Linked DNA regions of Mus musculus. The protein of the gene in region 3 binds, or shares a complex with, the protein of the main gene of each other region. Links are inferred from orthologs where the notes say so. Each region holds a gene or a part of one and is shown on either strand. Other genes may lie near its edges. The genes, in order: Kansl3, Kansl2 and Kansl1.

Region 1 (10,091 bases), on a different chromosome or scaffold from region 3:
GGGGGGGGGGTCCTTTTCCCCCCAGACTTAAATACATACTATGGTCTCTCCTTAACATTTCTTCTTCTTCTTTTTTTTTTTTTTTTTAAAGATTTATTCTGCTTAACATTTCAAATAGACACAAATTAGTTTTGAATTTGATGTTGACTTCATGTTTGAAGAGTCCCAGTTCTTCCAACCAGTGTAGTCAAGTATGGTGTAGAGTAGTGAAAACAAGCATCTGCTACCCTCTGCATGCCTGCACACCCACACGCCCGCGCAGGACAGACTCTCAGGCCCACACGCCTTGAGAAGCCTCAGCTGTGTGGGAGTGTCCCTTAAAACTGCTGATGAGAGATTTCTTCTTTTAAGGGACAGTGTTGGCATTTGTGTTTTTTCTGTGTTTGGGGTATCTCTGTGTGTTCTAGAGATGGAGCCAGGGCCTTGCACATATGAGATAAGTGTGCTACTCTGTCTTTCCTATATCTCCCAGCCTGGTAACATTTGTGTTCTTTTGATTATATTTGTTCTCAATAACAAAGTCATAAGTAAGGGGGGTTCTAGTCTAGATTGTCTAGCAGGACTAAAGTATGACAGCTCCCATCAGACTCAGGTGTGTATGAAGGTCCTATCAGGGTTCCAGTTCTCTAGGTGGTGACTGCCTGTGCTCTGTACTCTTAATCATGTATGGCTGACAAAACTGAAGGCTAGAACAAGCAAGAAAAGCTGGGACTGACTGGTGGCTCTGGGCTACCCAGGCCCACTTGCATTCTGGGGAGGCTGGGGTGTAGTGAATTTACTTATCCTAAAGCTGAATGATGCCTTTATTATGTACAGGTGTCTGTGATGGAGTACGTCACTGCTGTTGTCTGCCTTGGGTTTCCTCTGCTTACTGTGGATGGACCCAGGGGGGTAAGAGGGAGATGAAACTGCTTGGTCTTTGGCAGTGGGAGTGGGGGGCAGCAGGAATGTGGAACAGTGGAGTGCATGCTGCATCGGCATTAGTTGAGGGCCAACTGCTTACATCTAAACTCCTGCCTCTTCCAGGATGTGGACGATCCCCTCCTGGACATGAAGACTCCAGTCCTCTTCGTCATTGGTCAGAATTCTCTACAGTGTCACCCTGAAGCCATGGAGGACTTCCGGGAAAAGATTCGAGCAGAAAATAGCTTGGTGGTGGTTGGGGGAGCTGATGATAATCTCAGGTGGGTCCATCTCCCGAAGGACGAGAGGGAACGTATTGAAATGTTAGAGAATGTTTATCCGTGGCCGAATAAAGACAGACCAGTATGGCTGAAGGAACAATTAAACTTGCATCCTATAATCCCAAAATGTATTCAGGAGGCTAAAGCAATAGCTAGCTGGCCCTTGAACCTATTTCAAAAAACTACAGCACTAGTACAAGAAATCTGAAATCTCCTCTATCCCTCACCTAGACAAAATATAATCAAAATGTCGATTTGATAGTATTGTCTAATCTAAATAACAAACCTAGATTTCATCAGTATCTCCCAAGAGAGGAGAGGAACAGAGAGAGGGAGAAGGGGAGGGAGGTTGGAGAGAAAGTGAGCCCCTTTCTCCCTCTCTTTCTTATTTGTTTTGAGGCAGGATTTCATGTAGCCCAGACTGTACTCATATTTACAATGTAGCTGAGAATGGCCTTGAGGAGGATCTTTCTGCCCTTAGCCTCCTGAGTCTCCATGCCTAGTCTTCAGTGTTTGTTTTCTGGAACCTTGACATGGTTGAAGATGGCTGATCAGTTATAAAATATCGATAGTTCTTTTACATGTTTTTCTCTGATCTATTGAAGATGTTTAGTTTTGTCAGGAATGCCACAAAGGTGACATTGCTTCTCAGTGTATTCTGTCAGAGGATACATGATTCAATTTATCTTGTTACTACTGATAATAACGTTGATCATACAGTTGGGATAGCTACTGTGGGGTTCTCCACTATGAAATTACTGTTTCCCCTTTGTAATTAGGAGTCATCTTGTGGGGAGGTTATACTTTGAGATTGTAATCAGACTTTTCCTGGGGTAGGCATTTTAAAAAATTTCATTCCTTGAGGACCAGTATGAACATAGATTTACTTGTGTTAAGCCTGACTTTGTTGATACATTATAAAGTATCAACAAAGCCAGATTTTGGGAGGGATTTAAGGTAAGGTGTCTTGTGACTTTGGTCATCAAGACAGCCATTCATTAAATCTTAGGAAACATCTTTAGTTGCAGAAATTATAATAGAATCTCTCTATGTAGCTCTGGCTATTTTGGAACTATCGTTATGTAGACCAGGCTAGTCTGGAACTCACAGATCCACCTGCCTCTGCTCTGAGTTAATGCTAGAATTAATGGTGTGCACTGGTCCGTCAGGAGGAAAGATTTTGAGACTCTTGTCTTTGACATCAAACTTTTCATTACATACACTTTACATTTTTTATTTTATTTCTTTTTAATTTTTTAATTTTGTTGTCCTGGCTGTCTTATAACTATGTAGTGTAGACCAGACTGGCCTCAAATTTACTGCCTCTGCTTCCTGAGTGCTGAAATTAAAGGTGTATGCCACCTTACCTGATTAAAAATTTTTGTTTCAAATTTTTGAGTTACATTTTTTTAAAAAAAGCAAAGTCAGTTTTTTTAAGACTTATTTATTATATGTAAGTACACTGTAACTGGCTTCAGACACACCAGAAGAGGCTATTGGATCTCGTTATGGATGGTTATGAGCCACCATGTGGTTGCTGGGATTTGAACTCGGGACCTTTGAAAGAGCAGTTGGTGCTCTTATCCACTGAGCCATCTCACCAGCCTCCTTGAGTTACATTTTTATTACTGGTTTTGTGTGCCGGTGTCCCCATGCCCTGACACTTTATGAAGGTCAGAGGATAATGTGCAGGAGTTAGTTCTCTTTTAAACCATGTAGGTCCTGAGCAACTCACATTGGAAGATCAATACGAACATAGGTAGTATTTGTATTAAATGCCATTTATTTTGGAGGGCTGGTATAGTTTCAGTAATATTGCTCTCCATTGTAAAACTTATGGGTCTGATTTTCTGTTTTCCAGGAGCATCAGTCAGAAATCAGGTTTTTGTTGCTTTTAGATAGGGTCTTACTCTGTAGGTAAAAAAAATTTTTACAGCTCTCCTTTCTCTCTCTCCTTCTCCCTCTCCTCCCTCCCCCGCTCCATGTGTGTGAGAGAGAGTGTGTGTGTGTGTGTGTGTGTGTGTGTGTGTGTGTGTGTGTGTGTGTGTGTGAGACAACTCTCAAGGTCAGGTCCCTTCCACTCTAGGCTGCAGAGTTTGCACTCAGTCGTCATGCTCTCTCTGCTTGGTCATTTCACTGCTCTCACTGTTTCTTTTTTGCTTCTTAGAATAAGCAAAGCAAAGAAGAAATCAGAGGGCCTGACTCAGAGCATGGTGGACAGATGTATTCAGGTAAACAGTTTGCTCTCCTTTTTGTTGCTAGGTTTTGTCTTACTGGCAGCAGCCTTTCTCACTCTGGACCATGAAGGGTTTCCAGTAGGCTGTGTGGTAGACCTAAGTCACAGTCAAAGAAAGGAGAGCAGGGAAGGACAAAGCAAAGAGGTGAACTGAGATATGGGTGGGCACTCAACAGAGTGGGGCATGGAGTATGCCCAGAGCTTTTGCACAGGCACCTGCTGGTCTTCCCCAGGTATCGCAGCTAAGCTTGGCCTGTATGTGGCCTTGGGAGTGGAAAGAACCATCATGGGAGAATAGAGTTCTGTTTATCTTGGTGCTATCTAGGAGGGTCCTGTTCTCCAGGGGAGGACTAAGGCCTTTGCTCCTTTTCACACTAGGATGAGATTGTAGACTTCCTGACTGGAGTGCTCACTCGTGCTGAGGGTCATGTGGGCTCTGAGCCTCGGGATCAGGATGCTGAGAAGAAGAAGAAACCCCGGGACTTGACCCGAAGAGACCTGGCCTTTGAAATTCCTGAGCGAGGCAGTCGTCCTGCTTCCCCAGCTGCCAGGCTCCCCACATCCCCCTCAGGCTCAGAGGTAGTGTGTGCAGGGAGAGGCGCCTTTACTGAGGTCTTCCTTTGTGGGAATGTCTGGGAATCCCTGTAAGGGGAGATGCAGGGAGCCATGCCGAATGATGCTTGGATTCAAGTCTCTTTGTACCTTCTCTACCCAGGATCTCTCCAGTGTGTCCAGCAGCCCCACCTCTAGCCCTAAGACCAAAGTGACCACAGTGACCTCTACCCAGAAATCAAGTCAGATTGGGACCTCCCAGCTGCTGAAAAGACATGTGCAGAGGACAGAAGCTGTGCTGACCCACAGACAAGCCCAAGGTACAGATGGTCTCCTGGCCCAGCAGCCCCAGTGGGGCTCCGTCTCCTGCAGCTAGTGTCATGTGGAGTTGGGAAGTATCAGCTCTGCAGCTTTTTCAGGGCAGCTTGAGAGGCTCCCATACTGCTTCTAGGTAAACTCAGGTTGAAACGAGTCCCAAGGCTATGTGGTAATAGGCATTTTGTCATAGTCACCGTGTTCTGGTGTGCTGGAGACGTTGAGCTTATAAGCTAACCGTGTGTGTAGTAGCCTGGCGTTTTTTCTAATTTCTAATTGAAGAAGCCGTGTATTTTGCCAACCATTCCTGGAGTCAGAGGGCTTTCCAAATGATAAGCACGTGGTGACTGATTTTACTCCTCAGAATAGGCTAGCTCACCTTGTCCTTTTGGTTTGGTCTTGAAGAGTTAAAGAGTTCCATGATGCGACATTTACAGATTTGGTCAGTGTTCTGCCATTAAGCTTCAGATAAGACTGGGGAACATCACTATCGTTGAAATCAGGGTTTGGAGGGATCCAAGGGTTGTGTGAGTAAGGAGCTGTAGAAAAGAAAGAATTCAGTGAGTAAAGAAAGAAGCATCGGTGGCTCTGTCCCTAATGTCTGTCTGTCCCACTCCCCTCCATCCCAACATGGTCCTCTGCTCACCACCCCTTTTACTTTTAATGAGGCCAAAGGCTCCATTACTTAAACTAAGGCTTCTTATGAAGTGCCACTAACAAGTATGAGTGGGTGGGTGAAGGCAACAAAAGAGGCTGGGTACCTGGGATCTGTGTACATGCTCTGTAAGTGGTACTTGGGACTAGTGGAATTTCCTTAGAATTTAGTGAAGGCAGAGCCAGCAGGTTGCTGTATCTCTGGGTAGCATGATTAGTGGAGAAATGTAAGGTGGTCTGGAAGGCTGAATGGTGAGCTGGGTTTAAGATGGGAGCCATGAGTGTCAGTAGGATAGCAGCATCCATACAACCATGCTTAGGCAGAGCTGATGGGTGGGTGGGGAACAGTAGTTAACAGAACTCTCACTGCCTGCTGACCCCTCTGTTTGGAGGTGACTTGCCCTAGCTTGTTGAGGCTTGGCAACAGCCTCGTGTGACAATTACACAGCAAAGTCAGGTTCCAGATCTGTGTGGTTCCCTTAGAAAGAATGGTTGACGGTTTTCATCTTTTCCTTGTTCCCGCTCTGTTCCTCCATTCTCTAGCTGGCTGTGATTCTATAATTCTTTCTGATTCATTCCAGCACAGTTTGCTGCTTTTCTGAAACAAAACATGCTGGTGAGGAAAGCTTTTCCTCCTGGCACCTCCTCCTGTCTCTTTGGTGAGTATTGCTTTCACCTGCTCGCCTAGGCTTACTGCTCTCCTCCCTGCCTCTCAGTGTTCCCTGCTCTCCACTGGTTTTTTCTCTTCCTTTCTCTCTGTCTCCCAGCTCCTTGTACTAGCTCCCTTGCTTATGTTCTCCCTATTGGTTTCTCATGGTGGCATTTCTTGCTTTCTCACTTTTTTCTGCCACGCTCCTTGGCTCTGAGTCTCCCTTGTATGCTTGTATGCCTGTGGCCTGCTTGCCTTCATGTGAGCCTGCATTTTCCTTGTCTGTTTTCTCCCTGCCTTGGTTGTTTCCATCCTGATTGCTGCAAGTACAAGAGAGCTGCTTAGAGCACTCCTCTGTCTTAGGCTGGTACATTCATCCCTAAGCAGCCCTTGATTCCCTCACTGTAGCCCCACGCCAGCAACCCCAATGTTCATTGGCCTGCTGTCTTGCTCACTACAAAAGAGACTTCTGAGGTTACAGAGCAGGAAACTGAGAAAGTCTAAAGGTTATCAAGCCTAGGGAGGCAAGGGACGTTTGCCTTTATACATAGTGATCTGTTTGAGTTAATGGAAGTTCATATCCGTAGACCTGGTTGGGACATGGGCCACTTTTGTCTTATTTGGGCAGCAGCTGAAATGCTACCTCACCTAGTAGTTCCTGAGAGCCAGCAACTCCTGGTAGCAGTCTGTCTGCCTTACCACCATTTGACAAGCAAAGCCCTCAGCCTCAAGTACCTAATGCATGATGGAGGCTGCGGAAGCCCTGGGAAAACTCCCTTGTGCAGAGGATTAGGTGGCCTGCCTGTGGATGTTCCTTATAGGCTGTTTACTGTCCCCAGCTATGGGACAGCTTGGGAGAAGGTGTATAACAGGGAAATGACCAGCTTCTTCGAGTCTGGAAAGTGCAGAGAAAACTGTTTACTTAGTTCTCTGATGGGGTTGGTTCTGCTAGATGATGTCAGCATGCCTTTTATCCTTTGTTTGGTTCCCAACAGCTCAAGGCCCCTTGTCTCCCTACTCCAGGGCAACTGAGATAGGCTGAGTTATCTCTGAGATATTCCAAGTCAGGTCCCCAATGGGTGGGACAACCTGTACCTGTGTCCCTTTTCCTGTGCAACTTCCACATGTCTCTTCTGGATGGCTTGGCTTGTGGTATTTATAAGTTATAGAAGATCTTACCTCAGCTCTGTTTCTTAGTTCCCATTTCATCAGAATCAGTGGAGGACATAGAGAAAGAAGAGCTTCGGGTCCAGCTTAAGAGGCACCATTCTTCCAGTCCTCTTCCTGGAGCAAAGCCTTCCAAGCGACCAAAGATCAAAGTGTCCCTGATCTCCCAAGGGGACACAGTTGGAGGACCTTGCACTCTTTCTCAAGGTGGAACACCTGAAGGTGAGTCTTTTGTGCTGTCTTTGATAAAGGCTGATCAGCGTTCCCAGGCTTGGCAGGCAACCCAGCCTCTGTCAGTCAATGGTCACCTGGAACAGAGATGGTCTGAGGTCACACATGGTGGAAAGTGGTAGTCACCTGTCTCAAGAAGGGAGACAATATCAGAGTACTTGTGGGGCCATTTAGAACATTATACACTTTGTCCATTTGGGGTTTTAATTAAGGTAATAGACAGCTTAAAAAATGGAAGGAAGGAAGAGAAGAACCCCAGCTGTCCCTGAATAGCATAGCTGTTCTTTTTCATTTTCCATCTTAAATTCAGCCTTGGTTTAGGGGCAAGTTAGGACTGAACTTTGGTCTTGGTTATTCTGCAGCTGCCGGAGGGAAGCCCATCACCATGACCCTGGGAGCTTCAGCAGGAGCCAAGGAACTCACTGGACTTCTCACTACAGCCAAGTGAGTCTGTCTGCCTTTGCTCTCCTAGTCTTCCTCCTGTTCACTCAACTTCTGCTTCGTTTGGTCTTCAGGGAAGTTGAGATATTCTAGAGTCAGTTGTAGGCATGTGACTTTTTTCTGATTGGGAGCTTTCTTTCTGACAGAGCATCCACTGACTTTACCCAGGACTTGAGTTCTTTCATTTAGGCCTGGCTTTTAGAAGGATAGAGGTGGGGCTTAGGAACTGAAACAGAAACCAAAGATTCTTCCTTGCCTGACGGACGGACTTCACTCGGGATACCCCTTGTGGCTGTGGGCTGCTGCTCTTTGGATAACAGGGCTCCTTCCTTTATTTCCAGGTCAAGTTCTTCTGAAGGTGGAGGTACAGCCAGCACAACCCCATCTGTGGCTTCCAGCAGTGCCACACCTAATGCTATCCACACGCTGCAGAGCCGCTTGGTGGCCACTTCTCCAGGCAGCTCCCTTCCAGGTATCTTGTCTTGGATCTGCTGCTGCAGGGGGTGGTCTTAGACCAGTTCTGGAACTGGAGCGAGAAAGAGTAGCTCTGCTCTCCCAGTGGTAGCAGAAGCTAACGGGAACTGGAATTAGCTTGTCTTTACTGTCTGTAGGGGCTGTGTCCTTTACTGTGAGGATAGACAGTTGCCTGTGTTGTTTCTTCTTTTTCATACCTCCAACTAGATAAAGCTGGAGGTGGTGCTGAACTGAACTTCAGCAAAGTGAGATGTGTTTTACCTCTTTGATATCTACTTTTTCTGAGCCTAGCCTGCCTGGAAGGGCTGATTGCCGGTACCATGGGTTAGGACATTGCTGAATTACCTCTCCCTTAAGATTTTACTTTCAGGTTGTTGGACTATATGTAATGTGGTCAGGTATCAGAATCCACTTGCTTTATTCTTTCTTTTCTGTAGAAGTAATTGAATTTGTGTTTCTGAAAAGTGAGATTCAAGCTCTCCGTTTTTCTGTACAAAGTGCAGGACTGCTGGCTTAGAACAGGTTGGAAAAGTAAATCCAAGGCAGTGTCTGGCATAGCACCTGTCCTTGTGTAGTAACTTCTGTGTGTGCTGGGAAGGCTTTCCTGGTATCTTTCTGAGGGCAGGGTAGTGCTTAAGGGCAAGCTTAGGTTGTTGTAGGATGAAAGTGCTATAGGCTGCTTGTGGGTAATACCCGGGACTGATGTCTGCTGCATCTGCCATGTCCTCTCCTAGGGACCGCTTCAGCCAGCAGCCTCCTCCAGGGCCTCAGCTTCAGCTTACAGGATATTAGCAGCAAGACCTCTGGCCTCCCAGGAAGTCCCTCCCCAGGGCCAGCCCCACAGGTATATCATCTGCTGTACTGGGTAGTGTGGGATAAGAACTTCTTATGGGAGGGATAATATAAAGATAATAAAAATCCTGGAAGAGTACCTTGCTTGCCATGTGCTGAGTGGGCTCTGCAGGCTCTGGTGTTATTGTTGGGTGGTAACTTCTAATCATCTGCTTGTGTCCAATAGGCCACCAGTGTGAAATTGCCAACCCCCATGCAGAGTCTGGGTGCCATCACCACAGGCACGAGCACCATTGTCCGTACCATCCCTGTGGCCACCACTCTCTCCTCCTTGGGTGCCACTCCTGGTGGGAAGCCCACTGCCATCCACCAGCTGCTGACCAATGGGAGCCTCGCTAAGTTGGCAAGCAGCCTACCTGGCTTGGCTCAGATTTCCAACCAAGCATCAGGTAAGTGCCATGAAAATGATGGGGACTTCCAGTTCTGGGTATTTCCAGGTCTTAGATAGGCAAGGTGAACTTTCCTTGATTCTTGGATTCAGCTCTGTGGAACCTGCCCTCAGAAAGGTCTAGAGAACACAGACTGGAGCCCTTCAAATTTACTGACAGCGTAGACCTACCTGCCCAGGAAGAAAGCCAAGATGCTGTTTTGGGAAGAAACTGTTACCTGAAAGTAGAGGCTAGAAATCAGTACCCTGTCTTCCTAACTTTCTCTCTGTCTGTCTGTCTCTTACTTAGGCTTAAAGGTCCCCACCACCATTACTCTGACGCTGCGTGGCCAGCCAAGCAGAATTACCACGCTAAGCCCTATGGGGTCAGGGGCAACGCCGTCCGAGGAGCCCAACTCCCAGATGCTACCATCTAGTTCACAGGTGAGTTGGCCTGGGCAGACCCAGGAAGTGAGCAGGTTCCAGTCCTAGGTAAATGTGGGGCTGGCCACAGTGTTGACCACACCTGCCATTGCGCTGAACTTGTTGGCAGACCAGATTCACATTTGGACTCTGAGTTTCTAGCCTTGTCACTTTGAGCAAGGCAGGACCTCTTTGATTTTCCTTCTCTGTAAAACTGTCTGTTGTGAGGATTGAGATGGTGAAGCTCCAAGGGCATCCGTGACTGGGTAGAATGTTTCTGAGTATTTCTCTCTTCTTCCCTTTCTCCTCCCTTTCTTGGTTTCATCATTCAGACCTTATCAGTAGAGGCTGACTCTTGGACCATGTCTTCATTGCTATCTTTAGGGTTACCCAGGAAGTAGCAGTCGATTCCTCTTAGCGATTCACCTTGCTTTCTTATACCCCCAGGACCACCTGCCCAGGAGCGGCAGTGCTTCTGGTGAGCTGAGCCCTCCCCCGTCAGTGCTCTGCTGGTTACACATATGCAGTGTGATTATGGAAGCCCTT
Region 2 (10,091 bases), on a different chromosome or scaffold from region 3:
GTTGTCTTGGAGGCTTTCTGCCTCTGTCTGCTAACCTAGGCCTAGTCCTGGAAGCTTCTAGCTGCCATACAATCTTATCTAAGCCTAGGACATGTCAGTCTCTGGCACTTACCGCTAAATAAGCTCACCCTCCCTTGTTCCTTCTGATCTCTGACTGGCTGCTTCAACTCAGCTGTTCTGGCTCAAACTCCTCTCCAAGCTGACTGATTCAATCCACTTCTCTCTTGACATCTGACTTTTTGCTCTGCTTGGCCTCAAACTAACTCTAGCAATCTGTTCTAATCCTCTGGCTCCTTCTCAGTCTCTGGCTTGTTCTGTCTTCACCCGTGTCCTCTCTCTGTGACCTGTCACTGTAAAGCTCTCCCAGGAAAACTGCCTCTTCTTCTTCCTCCTCCTCTTTTTCCTTTTTCTGCACTTTCCTCTGAAGTAGCCTCCCTTTCCTTTCTCTTCTCATGAGAGCTGGGCGTATTCTATTCTGGCAAATCTCTCTGATTCGTCACTTTGTCTGCCACTCAATTAAACACCACTTTCAAACAAGGGTGCTTCCTTCTACAAACCAACTTTACTTTCATTGTTTGGGATTAAAGGTGTGTGCTAAGGGCTGAGCCACACCCTAACTAGAGGAGAAGAGGTTAGAGAGCCCTCGTGGACAGACCAAGATGTGGCCATGAGGCAGAGGGTCCAGGAGATGTCATGATGAGCAGGTCACCAAGGGACTCGCCATGGGGACTCACGTGGAGCAGAGCAAGCCAGGGAGAAGCTCAGAAGGAAGATAAAGAACCGAGTGGCTAAGCAGTAGCCTGGAGGGTTAGAGTGGACGACATCTTCCCAGCCTAGACTTCCAACTTACTAAATAACTTAATGGGTCTTTATGTCCTTGACTTGGAGGTAGAACGGGAGCAGATGAGGGGTTTGTGTTTACAGGCTACACTGTTTCAGCCTTATTTTTGACTATTGCCTCAGAATCAAGGGAGAATGCAGTTGTAGTCCAAAGAAGCAGGTATGGAAGAAACAACACTCCTGCAGAGTGAAATGGCCTTGCTAGCAGAAGACTGACAGACTCAGAGAAAAATAAAGAAAAGATATTGCTATACAAAGAGCTAAAGGAAGGGTAAAGCCAGCCTTAAAGGGCCGGGAGTGGGAGTGGCATTGTCAAGACCAGGAAAGGGAAGACTATAAGGAAACGGAGGCTGAGAGAGCAGAGACCAGTGAAGTAAAGGTGACTAGGAATAAAGATGGTTCTGACGCATGCCACTTCCCTTTGTCTAAATAAAAGAATCCACTTGGTCGGGGCTAGAGAGATGGCTCAGCGGTTAAGAGCACTGACTGCTCTCCTGAGTTCAATTCCCAGTGTTGGCATCAGGACCTCTGGAAACCTGTGACATCACATAAATGACAGTGCAACCTACATACCTGTTGCCAAGACAACAGTCACCATATTCCCAGAATCCACTGGGCTCACCTCCCACCTTTACCTGTGACTACCTCTCTCTCTCTCTCTCTCTCCCTCTCTCCCTCTCCCCCCACCCCCTTTCTCTTTCCACCGCCACCTTCCTTGCCTCTCTCTCTCCCAATAAACCTCTTACATGTGGGACTGTTTTGGCCTAGTGTGCTGTGTTCAGACGCAAGCTGCTATTCTAACACATCACCCAGCAACCACGTGGTGGCTCACAACCATCTGTAATGGAATCTGATGCCCTCTTCTGGTGTGTCTGAAGACAGGGGCTGGGAATCAAACCTGGGTTCTCTGGAAGAGCAGCCTGAGCTCTTAACTGCTGGGCCACTCCCTAAGCCCAACAAACTAACTTTACTTTTTGGTTTTTCGAGACAGGGTTTCTCTGTGTAGCCCTGGCTGTCCTGGAACTCACTCTGTAGACCAGGCTGGCCTTGAACTCAGAAATCCACCTGCCTCTGCCTCCCGAGTGCTGGGATTAAAGGCGTGTGCCACCATGCCTGGCTCAAACTAACTTATTTTAAAAGGAGAAAAAAAAAATAAAGCCAGGTATGGTAACGTATGCTTTTAACCCCAGCACTAGGGAGTCAGAGGCGGGAGGACCCGAGTCTGAAGCAGCCTGGTCTACCGAGGGTTCTAGGCCAGCCAAGGCTGAGACTCCACCAAAAGAGGAGAGGTGTTGGGAGCACGGGGGGCGGGGTGGGGAAAGGAAGAAGGGAAGTAAGAAAATAGTTTGTAAGACCGTGTAGGATTTATTTGTGTATTTTGTGTGGGGTGTCTTTTTCTTGCATGGCTAACCAAGTATCAAGTGGGCTTAGACAGACCTGTGCTACAGCCTTGGTAATGCAGAACAGAAATTATAAATTAGAGGGATTATAGCAAGTTTTTGCCTATGCACAGTAGGAATGAGCAATGCATGATGGTGGGGGGGGGGGGAGTTACTTTTCTAACCTTGGGCTGTCCTGAGGTAGCTTACTGAAGTAAATGCTGATTCACAGCAGCTACATCTGAGAAAGTGGCAGCTACTTTGTTACATTCTGAGTGCTTCTAAACACCATGCTATTACAATGAAACAGGCCTTTGAAAAGAAGGTATATGACCAAAAGGCTTCCCAGTCTTGTATTGTTTTCTTAATTACTTAAGGGCCCTGAGCAGGGTTTTAGGTCTCCCCAGCTCAGTCAGGAGTGATATTCCGTAAGATTTGCGCCCATCTCCCTAGCTCCCCCTTGTGGTTAGTAGTGGCCACTGCAGCCATGTTGAGTTTCCTCGGGAGCCCTGGCTGGCACATGACACACCAAAAACATGATTCCGTCCAAGTATTCAGTGAACTGTAGGGTTTATTGGCTTGTTTACAGGAATATGGATGACCCAAAGACAGGTTCATCACTGAAAGATAGGTTCATCCCCCCCAAAATGGTGATAACTCACAAAAGTTACAACCCTGGTGTTCCCTACACAACTTGCTGAGAGGTGGTTTGCAGTTTGCTGGTTGTAGTCTCCTCTTCGCATACATAGGAGCCACTATCCCTCCTAAGTCATCATAGTGTGTATTTCCCATGAGCCATCCAACCTTCCCACTCTGGGGTACCACTGTGGGGCCTCCACGTGTCGCAGCAGTGGGGGGATTACAGTTTGGCCTGGCTCTAAGAGATGTACTCTGGTCTGCCCTCAGTGCTCTTTGAACCAGCTCCCCTTCTGACAATCCGGTCCAGTACCGTGCTCTTGTGCTTTCCACTGGCCAACCCCGATGTGATTATTTGAATTAGAAATGCCCGCCAGTCTCTGGCACTTGGACACTTGGCACCCAGCTGGTGGCAGTTTTGGGATATCTCGGTGATACCGAAATGCTGCAGGAAGTGATCACTGGGGATGGACTTTGAGATAAACCTTGTGTCTTGTACGTGTGCTGTCCCACATGCTAGTAGTCCCCATGCGAGCTCACGGCTTCCTGATCCTGCCATGATGCTCTATAACCCCTCTGGAACCTTACATCTTAGTCATAAGCAACAGAAGAGTAGAGAACAGCCAACACCCGAAAGGGGTCTGGGCTGAGCGAATGATCTAGTCTACTTCCTTGCAGGGAGAAATGGATGACTGCCCACCCCAGGGAGGAGCTTTGCCGCTTTCCTTGGCAGTTTTATTAGCTTCTTCCTGGGAACTGCTCATCATTTCTGTCTAACGCTCCCCTAGGAAGCGGCTTTACACAAACCTCACCGCCACACTGTCTGCTTTGCCACTCCACCATCCTCGCTGGGGTTGAACCAAGGTCCTAAGGCTCTGTGCCAGGTCTCGAGTGAATTAACCCCTAGCTTTCCAGTGACACAAGTTTACCTGGCCCTGGGAACTAGGTACCAAGCACCACCTCTGTCGTGAGTTTCTCCAGAGTGCCTGTCTTAGAATAGAAGTAGTATACACCTTTCCCATCAGAACATTCTCAAATCCAACGAGAACACAATCGATCCAGATCACTTTACACTTTGATAGCATTTTAACATTTAATAGAAACTATATACAGTAATTTCACTACATATTACATGGAGTCACCACAGGAACTTACATAAGTTAAAAGCAAGAATAACTAAGTAAGGAGAGCCCAGACCTGTGAGCTGCTTTTCTCAGTTACAGTTCACAAGGAAACGAATGGGCTTTGTATTGCCCAACTATGTAGAGCAGAGGAAAGGCTTAGATACAGGCCTTTAGATACAGCTAGCCAGACACTAAGGGCCAACGCCTGCCGAGCACCGTCTCGAGCACAGCCCGCCTGGACATCCATGTGGGGTTCTGTCCGTGGCTTAGGAGTCCCATTACAGAATGTCTCTCTCCCAGGCAGTCTCCAATATGCATTGTATCCCAAAGGCAGGGATCACCTCACATTCTTCCTTGAAAAAAAAAAAAATCCCAAAACTTATATACTAAATATTCATTCCACACAAACTTGGATTATGTTTGTCTATAGCGCTCTAAAGCCCCAAAGGAAGCAATGTGGTCTGAGTTGTCCCTGTTCAGGGAGAGATGATCAGAGATACACTTGTCTGAAGAATGGAAAGTTCAAATCCAAAGGCAAACAATTCCCAGAATGAATGTCAACTGATAGAAGTGGGTTCTGGTTTTCCATTCGCAGTAGCCAATCCACGCTGAGGGAATGCTGCTTTCTCTACACTTCGAGCTCCCTGGGATCTGCACCCATCCCCAGCCGCCTGCATCTGTCCCTATTAAAATAAATAAAGGCACTTTGGTTAGAGACTCCCTCCAATGGGCCTGACGCATGACTCTGACAGAGCAGAGAGATAAAGTAGCTAACATGCTGGTTGCTTCCCCAGGATACTGCTGATCCAAAGAACCAGAATTACTGAGGCTGTGAAACCAGAGAGAACAAGGGTTGTTTCTTCCAAATGAAATAGTCATTCTCTACTGAAGTCCAGAGTAGCTAATAAACCACTGGAAGACAGTTCTCTAGGCGTCTGCTTGAAACCAACAGCTACAGTGTATAACTGCTAGTCTTCAGTAAGAGCCATGGGTAACCTCCCATCCCTTGATTCTAGAATAGCTCGAGTGATGAACGCTCCCTTAAAGAGACAATGTATCTATCACCTTTCACTCAAACAAACGGATGCCCCCTCTTGAGGATTAAGAACCATTAGGAGTTCTGCGGTTCATCTGGAAAATTAGTACCGACAAGCATTCAAAAGCAAAAGAAGTTGTTTTATGCCTCTCTATCAGCTCCTGCCTCCAGCTTCCCAGCTGACTTCCCCGGTGACGGACTGCGGCTTGAAGTAAGGGGTGGAATAAGTCCTTTTCTACTCAAGTTGCTTTGGGTTGTGGTGTTTTATTAAAGCGGGTATTTCCATTTTATGGCATCTTGGGCACTTTTGCTCTCTACTTGGGAATCACGATACTCCCTGGAATTCATGCTAGCCAACGCCTGGCCTGGTCACTACATGAGGGAGCCTAGCTGACAGTCATTGTTAAAGATACCCACTGCGTCTCCGGCACTTTCTGTGACTGAATGATCTTCAAGAGTTAGCGAAGGATCAAAGAGCAATGGCGACGGCGGGCATGGCATGCCATCACCCACAACATCCAAGTCCTGGGGAAAAGAGAAGAGTCCGTCAGCAGCATCTAGGACATCAATAAGCTACAACTGACAATGTTCACCAAAGCTCAAGGTAACTCTACCCCCCCCCCCCCCCCCGCTTAGATCAGTGAACAAGATCAACAACAGTAAGAGCCTCTCTTAGCTCATTTCCACTAGGAAAGTCATGAAGTGAAAGAGCGACCACCGAGAGTCAAGGGGGAGGCTTAACAGGGACAGAGTCTGTTTAAACCGAGGGAGGAAAAAGATGCTAACAATGACTGCATAACACACTACTCAAGATCAATACCAATCAACTGTAAAGTATCACACAGGTTCTTTTTGTTTGTTTGTTTTTTGTTTTTCAAGACAGGGTTTCTCTGTATAACCCAGGCTGTCCTGGAACTAACAGTGTAGACCAGGCTGGCCTGGAACTCAGAAACCCGCCTGCCTCTGCCTCCCGAGTGCTGGGATTAAAGGCGTGCGCCACCACGCCCAGCATCACACATGTTTTACAGTGAACAAAGGCATCGCTAAGTGAGATGAACTGAGTTTGAACCCCAGAATCCACATGGTGGAGAGAATAGACTCCTAAAACTGCCCTCTGATGTGCACATAACACATGCATGTTCACACACACACAAATTAAGTGTAAAAGAACACTTTTAAAAGGAAAAATAAAGAGAAAATACAAGGCTGGCAGATTGGCTCAGTAAGTAAAGGCTAATGGCTTGTATTTAGTCACCCAGTGGAAGGAGAGAACTCGGATGCATGCCTTGTCACACACACTCACACTACACACACACACACACACACACACACACACACTCTCTCTCTCTCTCTCTCTAATTACAGTCAACACCTACGCTCCTGACTGAGGCATCCAATAAGAACAATCAGCCTATGGACAAAGTAACATGAAACCCTGCTGGAAAACACACTGGTGATACAAGACTGACCAACATTCACGGAGCAAGCAACTAAAGAGAGGACAGACCACAGAAACTCAGATGTTTCTGAATGGCAAAGACAGGATACTGTGGTTAACTCCAATCCCTAGAATGAGCAATGTGGCCTGAGGTCAGGCCTTGCTCTCTCTCTCTCTCTCTCTCTCTCTCTCAAGGCAGACAGACATTCTATACTGCACTACATCTCAGTGCCCTCTTCTTCACGCTCTACTTTGACATGGGTCTTACTAAGTTGACCAGGCTAGCCTGGAACTCACCCTGTGGCCCAGGCAAGACTTGACCTTAGGATGCTCTGCTTCAGCCTCCCAGGAGCTGGGATTAAAGGCCTGTGCCACCTGGCCGGGCTAAGCCTCTGAGTCTTACACTTAACATAGTTCAAGTATTCTGTTTAGGGGGAAAAAAAAAGGACATTATATTCTACACTCTACGCTTTGCATATGAATCAGCCATTCCCAGAGACACTGTGGAGTCAGCAGATCAAAAGCATCACTCCTGGCTCCTTCCTCAAACCAACACTGATTTAGGGCCCACATCGCTATAGTGGTTCAAAAATTATGGCAACCCAAGTTCCAAGCCATCTCGACAAATTCGGCTAATGCTTTTAAGCTCTAGCTAAGAAAGTAAAGGTGCCCCATGACAGAAGAACAGGCAAAGGGAGGGGAGCAGAAGGGACGAGGAAGCAGAAGGCTGGCAGGCAAAGAGACTTCAAAGTATATCATATGCCTATATGAGGCTGTCACAAGGAAACCATTCTACATAATTAGTATGTATCATAAAATCTTGGTGTGCTAATCACCAGGAATAGAAATCATAACCTTTTCATAATTAAGGGTTAGCACAGTTTAATAAGTTTTTAAAAATCTAAAACTTTAATCCTGACACTCAGGAACCAAAAGGCAGGTGGATCTCTCTGAGTTTGAAGCAAGCCTGGTCTACAGAGCAAGACCTTATCTAAAATAAATCAAACAAATAAATAAAAAGCCAAACATATTTTTAATTGGGGGCTGGAAAAATAGCTCAGCAGTTAAGAGTTTCCAGAGAACGCAGGCGCAGTGCCCAGCACCCACACGGCGCTCTACACAGAACTAACTCCACTCCAGGGGATCCGACACCTCTTTTGACTTCTTAGGGCACCGGGTCATGGACACGGTACGCATATGTGCAGGCCAAACACTGATACACATAAAATAAAATTGAATCCTTAAAAAAAAAAATTAAGTCTAAAGCCAAGCATGGGAATGCTTACCTTTAAACCCAGCACTCTGGAGGGAGGCAGAGGCAGGCAGATCTCTGAGAGTTCAAGGGATATGTAATGTATCCTTTCTTTAAAATGCCTTTAAAAACAACAGCAAGTAAACAAACTGCTCAGTGCAAGCAGGAGGAAAGAGACAGCCACATTGCCCACTATCCACTACAGACGTCCACTGGACACAGCTCTCGGCCCACAGAAGCCCACGCGCACACCACCAAGACAGTGCTCACTTTGTTTCCTGCAATTTTTCTTTTTAAAGCTTGGGGTTGGTGCCAGCTCTTTCTACCCACAGGTACATTATATAAACAACGTCTATTTGTGAGAATGCCAGGACTGAGTGGTCAAGAGAATCTTGTCCACTGGGCAACTAGAAAATGTCTATTTTGAGTGGGAAGGAAAAGCAAAGGTAAAGAGGTAAGTGCAGGTAGGAAACCCACTCTGGGCACTATCACCGTAAACTGGAAAAGAAACCCCCAATACCCAGCTCTGCCCTATGGAAAGGGCGACGCTAACGCTAAGCTTCCCCATCACTGAGCAGTCAAACTCTCTAAAGCCATATAGGAAAGTGCTTAAAATGTTAGGCCAGTTTGGCCTTAAAATAATTACTCCAAATTCATAGCTAAGAGATTTACAGACTATATCCTAAGCTGCCAGACTCCCAGAGCAAAAGGAGACTGGCATCATCTCTCTCCAAACAGCAGGGGAAAAGTAGGTTTGTACAGGACACAGCCTTCCAGGGACCTCATCCCCTGGAAGCAGTGACTACAGAGGTTTTAAGCGCAGGCCGTTTCTCGAGATGGGATTCATAGTACACATCATTTGCTCCATCAAGTACCTCCCAAAAGAGCTCACGGAGAGAAACACGTGTTAATCCTGCAGAGGATCCAGGTTCAATTCCCAGCATCTACATGGTGGCTCACAACTGGCTATAACTTCAGTCCCAGGAGATCTAACCTCTTCTGACCTCTGATGCCAGGCACACATAGGGTGCACATACATACATACATGGATACATACATACATATATACATACAACAAAACACACACATTTATAAAACAAACTTTTAAAAAAGAAAAAAAGGCATCAAATGCCAGCTTTTTAAAGTCGTGGTACAAGCTGGGTTTCAGGAAGCAAGCAAGTAAAGAAATGCTCAGACCCCACTCATAAAAAAAGAAATGCTCAGACCCCACTCATAAAAAAATGCTCAGACCCCACTCATAAAAAAAGAAATGCTCAGACCCCATTCATAACAGCATCAAAAACACTAAATTAGAATTGAACCACATAAAGTCTGAAAACTCAATAAATTTTGTAATAAAATCTGTCAAAAATAAAACTTTTTAAAAAGGGTCAGCAAAACTGCTTATCCACCAGAAGATGTTTAAAAACCACCAAAACAAATACAAATCATGTTTTTTACTCATCTCATTAGAAAGTATGGTACCAACATCCTCAGTAATGATAGGTGCTGCATATAAACACCTTGATAAAAAAAAAAAAAATCACTTCCAAGTTGTGCTCTACGAATCCCATCCCTGAGAAACAAAGGAGGCCAGGCATGGGGGTTCATGTCTCTAACACCAACACTTATGAGATATGGATCACGAGTTCACGTTCAACTCAGGCTACAGAATTAGGTTTTGTCTCAGAACAAAAAGTCTGGGGAGGAGAAAGGTAGAGCACAGAGTGTAGATAGATGGATAAACAGGCACAGTCAATGCGTTAGAATCACATCACCCTCTAGGCTGAAAACAGCTAACTATTCTCACCACTAGTAAACAGGGCCTTCTGTCAAGGGCCAATCAGAGCAGAGCTTCTCTAACTTACATCACTGAACTCCAGTGGTAAACTCTCAGTGGGCTGAAGCTCGGCAGCACTCAAGTACAGATCCATGGGGCCGGCTTCCAGATCGTCTGGCACAGACAGTACCTGCTCGGGCTTATACATCTGAGGAGGCAACTGGAAATGCAGAGGGCAGCAGGGATCCTCAGAAAGGCTTACAGGAACTGGTTTGTTGCAGGGGACCTCTTCAGATCCCTGGCAGCATTTGAAGAGAACCTGATTTGTATCCTGACAGATATCTACAGAACAGTTAAGGAAAATAAACCAGGACCCATTGGAAGAACACAGTACAGGAGTCTGCGATGTCAAACACAAGTCTGACGATGCAGAAAACTACTACATTTTTACTGAAAGCCAACTGCAGGAGTTATTTTTAGTTACGGCTGTAAGTGTAATTTTGTGCACATAATTTTAACCCTATCAATAATTTATAATTCACTCCCAACTCTTTTCCAGGACTCTAGCCATTTAAACTAGAGACAGGAAGTGTCAAGTGGCAACAA
Region 3 (10,804 bases):
ATTTTCTATAAGGAGCACAGTGCCAACAGATAAATACAAGCTTTTACACTGAATGAATCAGATGCAGATCCAGTAGGAGAAAGTTAGCAGGAATGTCTGATCATGAGGTGACTCGATTGTGTCACAGTTGGTAAACCTCATCAATCTCCAAGTTCCACTCATTCACATAGCCAAATTCCTGTACCCAGACTGGAAAGCTTAAGATAAGGTTTCACTATGTTATAGAGCCCTGGTTGGTCTGGAACTAGAGATCTGCTGCCTTTGTCTCTAAATGCTGGGATTAGAAATGTGCTCCCACAACCATTTGGAAAACTTTTGACCTATTTTACCTACTATACTTTGACGGTAATGTCTACCAAATCTTAAATGGAATAACTCAAAATGTTATCTAGCAACTACACTTCTAGGAACCTACCCAACAGAAGTATTTTCATGGATACAGATATATATACCTAATCTCTTCACTTAAGAATAGTAATTTTAAAAAATAGCTTAAATTTTAAAAATATAAAGCCCTCTAAGAAGTTTGAGCCAATTTGTATATAAGACACAGAAACAAAGAGAGAAAGGAATGTGAGAATTTGTTATATTTGTCTGTGTGCACTTACAGAGGCCAAAAGGCAGCACTGGACTCCCTGGAGCTGGATGTACAGGTGGTTTTGAGGCCACTTAACATGGATACTAAGAACCAAACTCCAGGCTTCTGCAAAAACAGGAAATACTCTTAACCCCTGAGCTATCTCTCTAGCCCCAGATGTAATTTTTTTGAAGGATGATTATATAATCAAACTATTAACAGTGCTTATCTATTTCTACCCTATTGTGAATTCAAATTCCTTACCAGTCTTAAGTTCAGATACAAAAGCACAGGACTTTTATCTCTAACAAACCTAGTGGCTTTGAACAATCCTAAAATTTAAAACTTCTTGAAGAACCCAAGCCAATTCAAAAAGAAAAGAACTGTTCTTCATGATTCACAGTTAAATTCCAGAAATCCTACCAAAACCTTTTTCCCTTAAATTGAATGATTAAAAATATTTTCCAATGCCAGAGAAATGGTAAAAATTTATACTAGTAGCCTTCTTTTGTTCTATTGACAAGCCCAAGACCAGATAGTGTGGAATAAATTACCAACTACAAAAAGTACAAGTATACACATGCACACATATTTAAGGTCTATATATAGTCCCTATTCTCCACATATAAACAGCAGAGTCAAACTCTCAAGACTTAAAATGTATCTTTGTGAGTTTGGGTGCATGTGCGTGTGTCTAGAGATCCTACCCAGGACCTGACAAGTGCTAAGCAAGCATTCTACTAATCTAGACTCTCCCCTTCCTCCCCCCTCCCCCACTTCTAAAAAATCTCTGCACTAGTAAATGCTAAAAACTCAGAAACCAATCAGTCCCAATCCCTCAGACCCTCTAGTACTAACAAGTAGTCCATAAAAGCCAAACAAAAGTAATGAGAGAATGTGGGTATCCGTTAACAAAATTGTTACTCAACCATGTTATTCCTCAACATTTCCCCTCCAACTGAATTTAACCAGGTCTGACCTTAAACTGCTGTTTTGTTGGGTTTTTTTTTTTTTTTTTTTAGAAGAAACTAAAAGGTGAGGAACCTCATCAAGTTCATGGCCCTTTTTCCAAACAAGAACAAAATCTACTATATTTAAATTTTTAACTAAAATGTCTGTTCAAATTTCTGGTTCAAGTAACAATGTACAGTAACAAAATATTACACTGAATTTAGCTCAACTTTGCATTCTGACTCCATCATTTAGAGAAGAAATTTAAATACAAGACCCTAGAAAACAAATTCAGAGCCAGTAATTGTATAAATAATTCTGTGGTAGAAATCATTCAAATCCTAAATTTCTATGAAGTTAGTTTGAAATCTTAAAAAGATTTGTAGAAAAAAATTTTATGTAGGGAATGTTGGCATACACGATATAACCCCACCACCCAGAAGGCTGACGCAAGGTTCTTAAGTTACTGGTAGTGAGTTGCAGGCCTGCCTAATAGACGATGTTTTGAAGAACTAAGGGTTGGTATTACAGCTTAGCACCACTAACAAGATGCAACTTTTATTAAACAATTAGCATTTGCCAAAACAGAGTTAGCCAACAGAGGATTAAAGTTTAAAGAGGGAAGAGACAGCTCAGCCATTAAGACCACTTACAGTTCCCAGCACCCATATCAGGCAGCTCACACCACCCATAATTCCTGCTGCAGGAGACCTGATGCCTCTGGCCTCCTTGGGCATCTACACTCTCTTACACACTCACATGTAGACACACATACAAATAACTAATAAATACATATTTTTGAAAATCTGAAGAAAAAAAACACTTAAAATGTCCCCTTCAATCATGAAAAAACAAACTCACTTGGTTCATAAAAATTTATACTAGTCATTAAAATCTTCATATACAATCATTAAATTTTTCAAGCAGACTATTCATTCAAGTTTTTTTTTTTTTTTTAAAAAAGACAGGTCTCACTTTGTAGCTCTGGCTGTCCTGGAACTTACTACATAGACCATGTAGGCCTCAAACTCAGAGATCCACTGCCCATACTGGGATTAAAGGTATGTGCCATTCCAATTGGCTTCCAAGTTTGTTTTTCATTCACCTGCGAGCTATGCTCTCTAATTTGGGGAACTTGGTTTCCACTTTACATTTTGGCTTCACCTTTACCCTACCAAAAATTAGAAAAAGCTTAACCAAAGTAAACAAATAAATTAAATAAAATAATCTACTGTACTTTTGACTCCAAGCTTTTTGGTAAGCCACTACTATTATCTAGCTAAGGCTTTCCAATAGCCTACACACAAAGGGCCAGACCTGTGACTAAACATAAACATAACGCCAGAGCACTTTCTCCACTATTTAGTTGTAAACGACCTGTCTTTGTCCTCTTTTCTTCATTTTAAATAAGCTCCTTCCTTCATGAGTTAGGCTGTTCTGGTCTCAGGAAGGATATTTTACATTAGTGTCCTTTTCTTGCTCTCTTTACAGAGTACAGTGCAGATGTCTCAAATAAAATGCCCCAACACCTGGCCTGCTATCCTAGTGCAAACAAGATTTGGACCATTTCCCTTTATCTTAAAAAAACAAAACAAAACCTTTTTTTTTCCAGTTTTTAAAAAGAATCTACAGGAAGAATTATTTTTCAACTTGAACAGACATAGTTATAGTTTCAAACCTAATAAACTCTATAGTAGTTTACAGACACTAAAGTTGTGCAAAAACATTACTACCAGAGTGTAGAAATTCAGACAAAATTAGGACTCTTCTTGGTACTTCCATTTCTCAAAATGCAAGCTCAAAAACTGAGGTGAACAACAAAAGACAATAGAAATTAGGAAAGTACTGTAAGTAGAGGGCATCAACATTTCAAGTCTGCCAGAAGAGATAGGAAGTACTATCTTTTGAGTGTTATATATAGATTGAGAAGAGAATTGTGGGTCATAGAAATAACCAGAGATAACTGCTAGTTATACTTAATCTACACTATTTCTTTCCATCTAGATCAAGAAATAGACAGGTCTTAGAACTAGAGGCAATACAATACAATACACACACACTCTCTCTCTGTATATATACAATACACAAAAAAATTTCCAGAAAGACACTTTCATTTCTGTCTTAATTGCCTCACCAAAACAAGGTGGTGGGAAAGATGAGGCCTAGGAACCTTCCACCCCCACCCAAAGAAAATGAATAGGAAAACACACCATTTAAACCCAAAGCTTTCTCTGTACAATATAATGTTTTAAAGAGCATTTTGAAAAATTATTTTTCTAAACTAAGGGAACAATTTCACTCACAGCTACAACAACTCAATACTAAAATGCCTTTGAAAATAGGCATCACCACCTACAAAAGCCTTGTTTACAGATCACATAAAATAGCTCATATCAAACACAGCAAACCCCAAATTTGTTCACTGTAAAAGTAATTAAAATCTGTGGCCAAACTAGATTTGGTCAAAATCCAGGGGCTATACTATACAGAAACACTGATTACAGTGTAGCATTACTAGAGAAAAAAAGACATTGGTGGTATCTGAAGGAGAAAAAAAAATACAATATTCTTTCTTCTCACCTTAAAGTTCAAATAAATTAAACTGTTTTCTAGCTTCCAGAATTTTCCTTAACAGGACAGTAAATTATCTAAAAATCAAAGAGTGCTCTGCAGATTTAATATTACATGAACATGAAAGTCAAGACACTACTGGTCTGAATTGGGTTTTCATGAAAGATGCAGCAACCCAATACTTGCAGATTCCTATAGGTAGGAAAACCAAACCTCCAATTTATCTCAAAATCTGCATAGAACTGATGACTTTTGTGTACAGAAACAAATCATCACATACACTTAATTAAATAACTACCTTCATCAGAATAAAGATTTTAAGAATCTATGTGATTGTTAATGGTTCCAAGTAGATCACACTTCAAAAATAATGTCAAACCACCTCAAGTTCTGAGGTCACTAACAAATCAAATCAAATATTCTAAAGGTCAAAAGAACTGTACACTTGGTTGGCTAAACCTAGTGGAAATCTAATTCAGGATTCCATGACTAAGGGTCGTTACCAAATAGTTACAATACATTGTTTAAATTTCCAAAGGATGAGCATTTTTACCTCGCAATATTTTTAGAGCAACACATCACACTGCACCTATCACATGACATGATGTAACTGTTAGCAAAGAAAATGGCCCAAGCCATTGATAACATACATCAGGAGAAAACAGATCAATCATACTCAAGAATTACATTTTATATTTACTTTTTGAAGCTAGTAACTTACCTAGAAAAAGAAAAAAATGTACTTTAGCATTTTATAGTTAATATTTACAAGAAGTTATAACAACCAAGTAAGAAGATTGGAAAACTAGAATTAAAAACTTCTCTATCAAAAATGCAACAAAGAAACACATCAAAAGTATCCACTGTCAGAAGAAAAAAAAAAAAAAGTCTCAACTGACAACAGCTGCAGTTAATTGAAAATTTCTAAATTGGTAGGAGAATAAGACAAGAAACCAAGTACAGCCCATAGAAGAGAGGAAAGGGAAACACGCCCACTTTATGCTTTTGTAAATACTGGTACTTCAAATGACCTTAAAAACAAAAACAAAAAAGGGAGGTGGGGTGGGAAATATAAACTGCAGACCAGTCTAAGAAACAGAAATCATTTTAATATAACGATTTTCCTACTTGATTGAAAGTACTTTTGAGAAGAAGTTCTGTAACTATATCATGATTATGCAAGGCAAGGATTATGTAATTTTATCGTTTATTTTAAAATGTTCTCCGAATGTATTAAAAAAAAAAAACCCTAGAGCATTGTGATCTCTCTAATGGGCAGAGGGACACTTACTTGGCTACAGCTTAAAATATTAACATACACCCCCCCAAACAAACAAACAAAACCCCACAATGATTGCTAGCCACGTGACGAAGGATATGGCAACACCAGGATTGTGAATGGAGGGGAGGAAAGCTAGGTTGGAGGACTAGCGAGATTTCTCTTAACTTTGGGGACTGCAGGATTCGGGTTTCTCAATCTTTAAGGTACCAAATTCTAACCCCTAAGAGTTGTACAGCTAACACCCTCAAGTGCGGTTTTATTAATAGGTCACGGAAAATGCTCCAGTGACCTCCAGGATAAAGGAGGAAAAAACAGGCGGAGGAAAGAGCAATTTAAAGTGGCGCCATCATGTCACCCCTTTTCCCCTAAGGCAATCAATAAGCAATAGTTAAGTAACGAGTTTCTCTAAAAATCCACATTGGGATTCCAACATTGGAAAACAAAAGGATTTCTAGGTAAAACATGGGAGTAAGATTGTTTACAATACGGAAAACAATTATAAACTATTTGCTGAGAATCAAAGGCCGTCAGTCCGAAAACAGGCCCCCCCAAAAGCAGTAAGATTCCAACTCACTTAAAAGCAAATAAATGCCTCTTCCTCTTTAGTTGAAAAAAAGGGCTGCCTGAGACTAGATCCGAAAACGCAAATGACCTCAATATTTAAGCAACAAAAAATGTTAACAATCAGAGTTGTGATACAAACCGTGAGACAGACATGCAAGATGTGTTTGAGCAAAGAAAGACCTTTTGCAGTCAAGAGAAGTTCAAGGCGAGAGCAAGAGTTTGTTTTTGGTCTTTTTGTTTTTGCTTTTTTTTTTTTTTTTTTTCGGAAATAAACCAGGTTCTCCAGGCCGCCTTTTTAAATAGAACGCCAAAGGAAAGCCCAGCGAACGAGGCGGCAGCTGGTGGGGAAGGGCCCCCGCACACCCCCGCCCTTGGGGCGACTCCCAGCCCGGACCCGCAGCGGGGAAGCCCGGAGAGGCCATTTAAAGTTCCGGGGATTTTTCTTCCCCTGCCCAGCCTTTCTAGTTACAACTAACAAAGAGAGGGAGAAATGGGAACCACAGGGAGAGCGAGGAGAAGGAGAAAGGGCAGCGGGAGGAGGAGGAAAGGAGCAGCAGCAGCACCTACCACGTGATGGAGGAGCGTAGCCCGGGCGGATTCGGCCCCACAAAATGGGCGCAGTTTGCAAACAGCCCCCCGGCCTGGGCGCCGAGGACCAGCGGGCGGGGGCGCGCGGCTGCTGCTCCGGCCCGGCCCGCCGCTCTCCTCCCCCCCGGCGCCCGGAGCCGCCCTGACTTTCCGGGCGGGGGGGCGAGGCGGAGGGGGAGGGGAAGGCGGCGGCGGCGGGGAGCGGCTGCTTTTTCTTCTCTTTCGGGCCCTTTCTCCGGCCTTCCTCCGTTCCGACCCGGCCTGGGCACGGCGGGGACCGCAGCCCCGGGCGGGCGGGGGCAGAGGGTAAAGCTGCCCCCCCCGCCCCGCACAAACAAGCGCCGCCGTCTGCAGCCCGCGCCCGCACCCCGGCCGCCACCCCGGGAGCTTCTTCCCGGCCGGGGAGCGCACTTCGGCCGCCCCCCAAGCCGCCGCGGCGAGACGAGTCGGCTTCGCTACGGCGCTTGGTTCTCCCGCCGGCTCAGCGAGCGGTGGCGGTGGCGGCGGCGGCACTGGGAAAATGGCGGCCGAGCTCCTTTTCCCTCCCCCCCTTTAATCTGAAGCGGAGGGAGAATGGAGCGAGCAAGCGAGCGGGCGAGTGCCGGGGACACGGGGAGGAGGGACAGCAGCGCCTCCGCCGGCTGCGGCTGCGGCGGGCCGCTCCGCCCCGGCGCGCCGCCAGGGGGCGCCCGCCTCGCCGCCCCCGCGGGCTGCCAGGAGGCGCGGCCGCCGCCGCCTCAGTCATGGCTCCTAGCCGCGGCCGCTGCTTCTGCGCCTCTGTTTGCGGAAACCGGTGCCTGGTGCCTGATACGTGCGGCAGCGACACGCGGCACTGCGGCAAGCGACGCGGGGCCCTCGCTTCGATCGAGGTGAGGCTAACCTGAGGCGCTGATGCCGTCACATTCCCTCGGCTCTGTGGCTGGCGGTGCTGCGCGCCGGTTTGAGGGGAGGGCGGACTGACACAGCAGAGCTAGAGGACGTGAGCGAAGAACTGTGTGTGCAGTGAATGAAGAAGCTGCTGCGGCCACACTACCCCAGGGCCAACCGTGCTCTGAGACGGGCAGGAAGCTCCCTGACCAGTGACGCGGTCCCTGCCACCCGCCCTTTGTCCTACACCCTGCTCTGTACACTGCAGCACACGGCTGGCTGCTAGCCCTAGCGCCACGCTCTGCAGCCGCCAAACCAAAAAATAAGCGGACGCCATTGCGCAGGCGCGAGCTAGGACCGACTCGGGGCTAGCCCGGGCAGGGGCAGCTGGGAGCTAGAGGGGAAATGATGGCCCACCAGCGCCGGGCCCGCTGGGAACTGTAGTTTTCGTTAAGCCCGCGTGTTGTTTTAGGCTTCTTGATTTGTCAGATCCGCCAAAATAGGCAAAAACGCATTCATTACACAGTAATTTTTTTGTTTCCTGCTACTACCAAATTAAAGTTCACAGACCCGCTAAAAGTTTAACAATGAACAACAAAAGCAAACCTGTCATGTTCTTACCAGCGTTGACTTAAAAGTAGTGGCACCTAATTACTCTTGACTCTAGTTTGTCAGCACGATATCGGTTCCTTCCTCCCAAATAAGGTTTAATATCAGAGAACATTTTCTGGACTTAGAAAACTTAATATAACGCAAAGTGACACATTACACAGTACAAATCCACCACCCTTTAAAGCTAACCATGTCCAAAGATTATTAGGACTCACCAAAATCAAATAGCATAAAACTTGTTCCAACAACTAAATCACCAAGCTCAGCAGATGAGAAGAGTAGAGTCTACCAAAAGGAAGATGTAAAATGCTCAATACTTTGTGTGGTTTACCAAACCAGTATCCGGTGTTATGTGTCACTTCAGCTCCTCAAAAAAAAAAAACTATTGTTATAGACCAGTTTTCATTAGCCCACAAAGTCTCTAACTCAACAAGTTTCTGCAGTATCTGCATCTATATTTCTCTTGAATTTCCATCTGCATTTTTAAAATTACACTCTCAAACATGATCTTGGTTTTCAAATATCAAAGGCAGGAGACAACATAGAGTCAATACACAGGGATAAACTGATAGATGTATACATATTTACATATGCATCCAAAAAAGATCAATAGTTTGGGCTTTTTAACTTATAATACAGGTAAGATTGTGTGTTTGCATGTGTGTGTATGTATGTGTGTGTGTGTGCGCGAGAGAGAGAGCATATATATTCACATAAACAGTAATGCCACAGAGGATGTTTATACATAATTACAGGACCAACAGATGGTGACCTAGAGCCCTAATCTGAAGATAACAAAATCTAAATTAGCTGAATGAAAATAAGGCAAAGCTTTCTACAATATTCTTAAATTTAATTTCTTAAATATTAGTGAAAGAAACTCTTTATAACAATGTTATTAACTATCCAAACTCTTAAAATCTTGACTATCTACACAGTCATGGTGCTGCATGCCATTTATAATTTCAGCACTAGGAAAAGAGATGCAGGAGAACTCTGTGAGTTCAAGGCCAGCCTGTTCTACATACTGAGTTCTGTGACAGCTGGGTATAGACACTCAGGCAGATTTCTGAGTTCGAGGCCAGCCTGGTCTACAGAGTGAGTTCCAGGACAGCCAGAGCTACACAGAGAAACCCTGTCTCAAAAAACAAAAACAAAACAAACAAACAAACAAAAAAACCACAACAGAAACTTCACTACCTAACTCAAGCATATTGACACATGCATTCAATTCCAGCATTTCAGTGGGGGTGGGGAAAGCATGAAAATCCAGAGTTCCTGAATCTCAGTATAACCAGTCCAATAATAAAAAAATAAAAATACAAAAACACAAAACAACAACAAAACTAAGTACCAAGTTTATGAACAACTGCATTCAAAGTGAGCAACTACTGACAAAAATCTATACATAAGACAGAGTTTCTCATGTACCCCTAGCTGTCCTCTCCCTGTAGACTAGGCTGGCCTTGAACTGTGAGATCCGCCTGCCTCTGCCTCCGATTAAAGGTGTGTGCCACCACGCCCACAGAGGAGGTTTTGAAAAAGAAATGTATTTCTTTAAAGACTTCCGGTCTTAAAAAAAAAAAAAAAAAAAAAGACTTCGGTCTAAGTCAGACATGAAGAAACCCTGTCTCGAAAACCAAAAAAAAAAAAACCTAAGAACCTCCTCTAGAGACAGGCTTGGTGACAACTTCTCAAATTCTATCAATCCCAAGGTGGATCCGGAGAGATCAGGCATTCAAGGTCATCCTTAGCTATACATCAACACATAGACTTTCTAGACCAGCTACAGTCATATAAAATCCAAATGCTTGCTGGTACACAAAGTAAAGAGGGAAGACAAGACATGGAGCCCAGAATTGGGGGAATGCTAAAACACAGAAAAAAACAAAATTCCCCCAGAGAAACAATGCATGATAAGGCTGATTAAAACATGCACACAAAGCTGAGCTTGATGGTTCAGGATGTTGATCACACCCAGCACTTGGCAGGCAGAGGGGCCAGATTTCTGAGTTTGAAGCCAGCCTGGTCTACAGAGCTTCCAGGATAGCTAGGACTTTACAGAGAATCCTGCCTCAAAAAACACACAAGCAAACACAAACAAGGTAGCACATATCTATGATCACAGCATTTGGGTTGCAAAAGCAGGAGGATTACCGACAAATTACCAGGCTACCCTGGTCTACATAGTGAGTTCCAAACCATCAAGTACCACACAGTGAGATCTTGCTTCAAACAAACAAACAAAATCCACATTTATAACCTATTAGAACAGTCATAATTGATGTGCTCAATATCCATTCTATCCTGGGCAAATATTTTTACTTGGGACTAGTTAGGACTGAGCATGAGGTAAGAGTGGAAGCTACCTAGGAAGACTCTGAAAGAACCAAGAAGAAACCATTCATCTTAATATGAGATGGGAAAAAAAAAATAAGCACCGCCCCCACTGCCACTAAATAGTTTAAACTATTAAAATATTTTATTTCTTTAGGAGGCTATCAGCATCAAAGCAGACAGAATGGATAGCTGCCAAGAGTCTTCGTTCTGATGACAGTTACATCATAACAATTCTGACATCTGCATGACTTCTGCAATTCCAGCTATAAACAAAACAACAAAACATTTGATTATTTAAAACAGGTGAAGTTAGGTTTCTCACACCTTAAGATAGTAACAAAGATTAATTTCTCTTATTTTAGAGTATGTACTCCATGAAAAGCTGTTTCCAAAAAAGGTATAGCTTTCCTTTTATAAACTCCACCTTAAAAAAAACAAATTAAGGTAATTTT

The links.
Region 1: Kansl1 (region 3) and Kansl3 share a complex: the UniProt entries of both Homo sapiens proteins name them as parts of the NSL complex. The link is inferred for Mus musculus from reciprocal best matches to the Homo sapiens genes KANSL1 and KANSL3.
Region 2: Kansl1 (region 3) and Kansl2 share a complex: the UniProt entries of both Homo sapiens proteins name them as parts of the NSL complex. The link is inferred for Mus musculus from reciprocal best matches to the Homo sapiens genes KANSL1 and KANSL2.

What each region holds. Positions count from the first base shown.
Region 1 is NC_000067.6:36,342,726-36,352,816, reverse strand, and holds part of Kansl3 (KAT8 regulatory NSL complex subunit 3), read left to right. Parts: intron 1-816; coding exon 817-891; intron 892-1,026; coding exon 1,027-1,184; intron 1,185-3,351; coding exon 3,352-3,415; intron 3,416-3,798; coding exon 3,799-3,999; intron 4,000-4,058; exon of another isoform or gene 4,059-4,135; coding exon 4,136-4,292; intron 4,293-5,522; coding exon 5,523-5,600; intron 5,601-6,787; coding exon 6,788-6,979; intron 6,980-7,350; coding exon 7,351-7,432; intron 7,433-7,770; coding exon 7,771-7,901; intron 7,902-8,637; coding exon 8,638-8,747; intron 8,748-8,921; coding exon 8,922-9,144; intron 9,145-9,432; coding exon 9,433-9,566; intron 9,567-10,091. UniProt on the Homo sapiens protein: Non-catalytic component of the NSL histone acetyltransferase complex, a multiprotein complex that mediates histone H4 acetylation at 'Lys-5'- and 'Lys-8' (H4K5ac and H4K8ac) at transcription start sites and promotes transcription initiation.
Region 2 is NC_000081.6:98,514,886-98,524,976, forward strand, and holds the end of Kansl2 (KAT8 regulatory NSL complex subunit 2), read right to left. Parts: intron 9,828-10,091; coding exon 9,574-9,827; intron 6,878-9,573; exon of another isoform or gene 6,751-6,877; intron 5,541-6,750; coding exon 5,433-5,540; intron 4,994-5,432; exon of another isoform or gene 4,832-4,993; intron 4,663-4,831; coding exon 4,537-4,662; 3' UTR 2,773-4,536; downstream 1-2,772. UniProt on the Homo sapiens protein: Non-catalytic component of the NSL histone acetyltransferase complex, a multiprotein complex that mediates histone H4 acetylation at 'Lys-5'- and 'Lys-8' (H4K5ac and H4K8ac) at transcription start sites and promotes transcription initiation.
Region 3 is NC_000077.6:104,435,213-104,446,016, forward strand, and holds the start of Kansl1 (KAT8 regulatory NSL complex subunit 1), read right to left. Parts: upstream 7,109-10,804; 5' UTR 6,513-7,108; intron 704-6,512; exon of another isoform or gene 609-703; intron 1-608. UniProt on the Homo sapiens protein: Non-catalytic component of the NSL histone acetyltransferase complex, a multiprotein complex that mediates histone H4 acetylation at 'Lys-5'- and 'Lys-8' (H4K5ac and H4K8ac) at transcription start sites and promotes transcription initiation.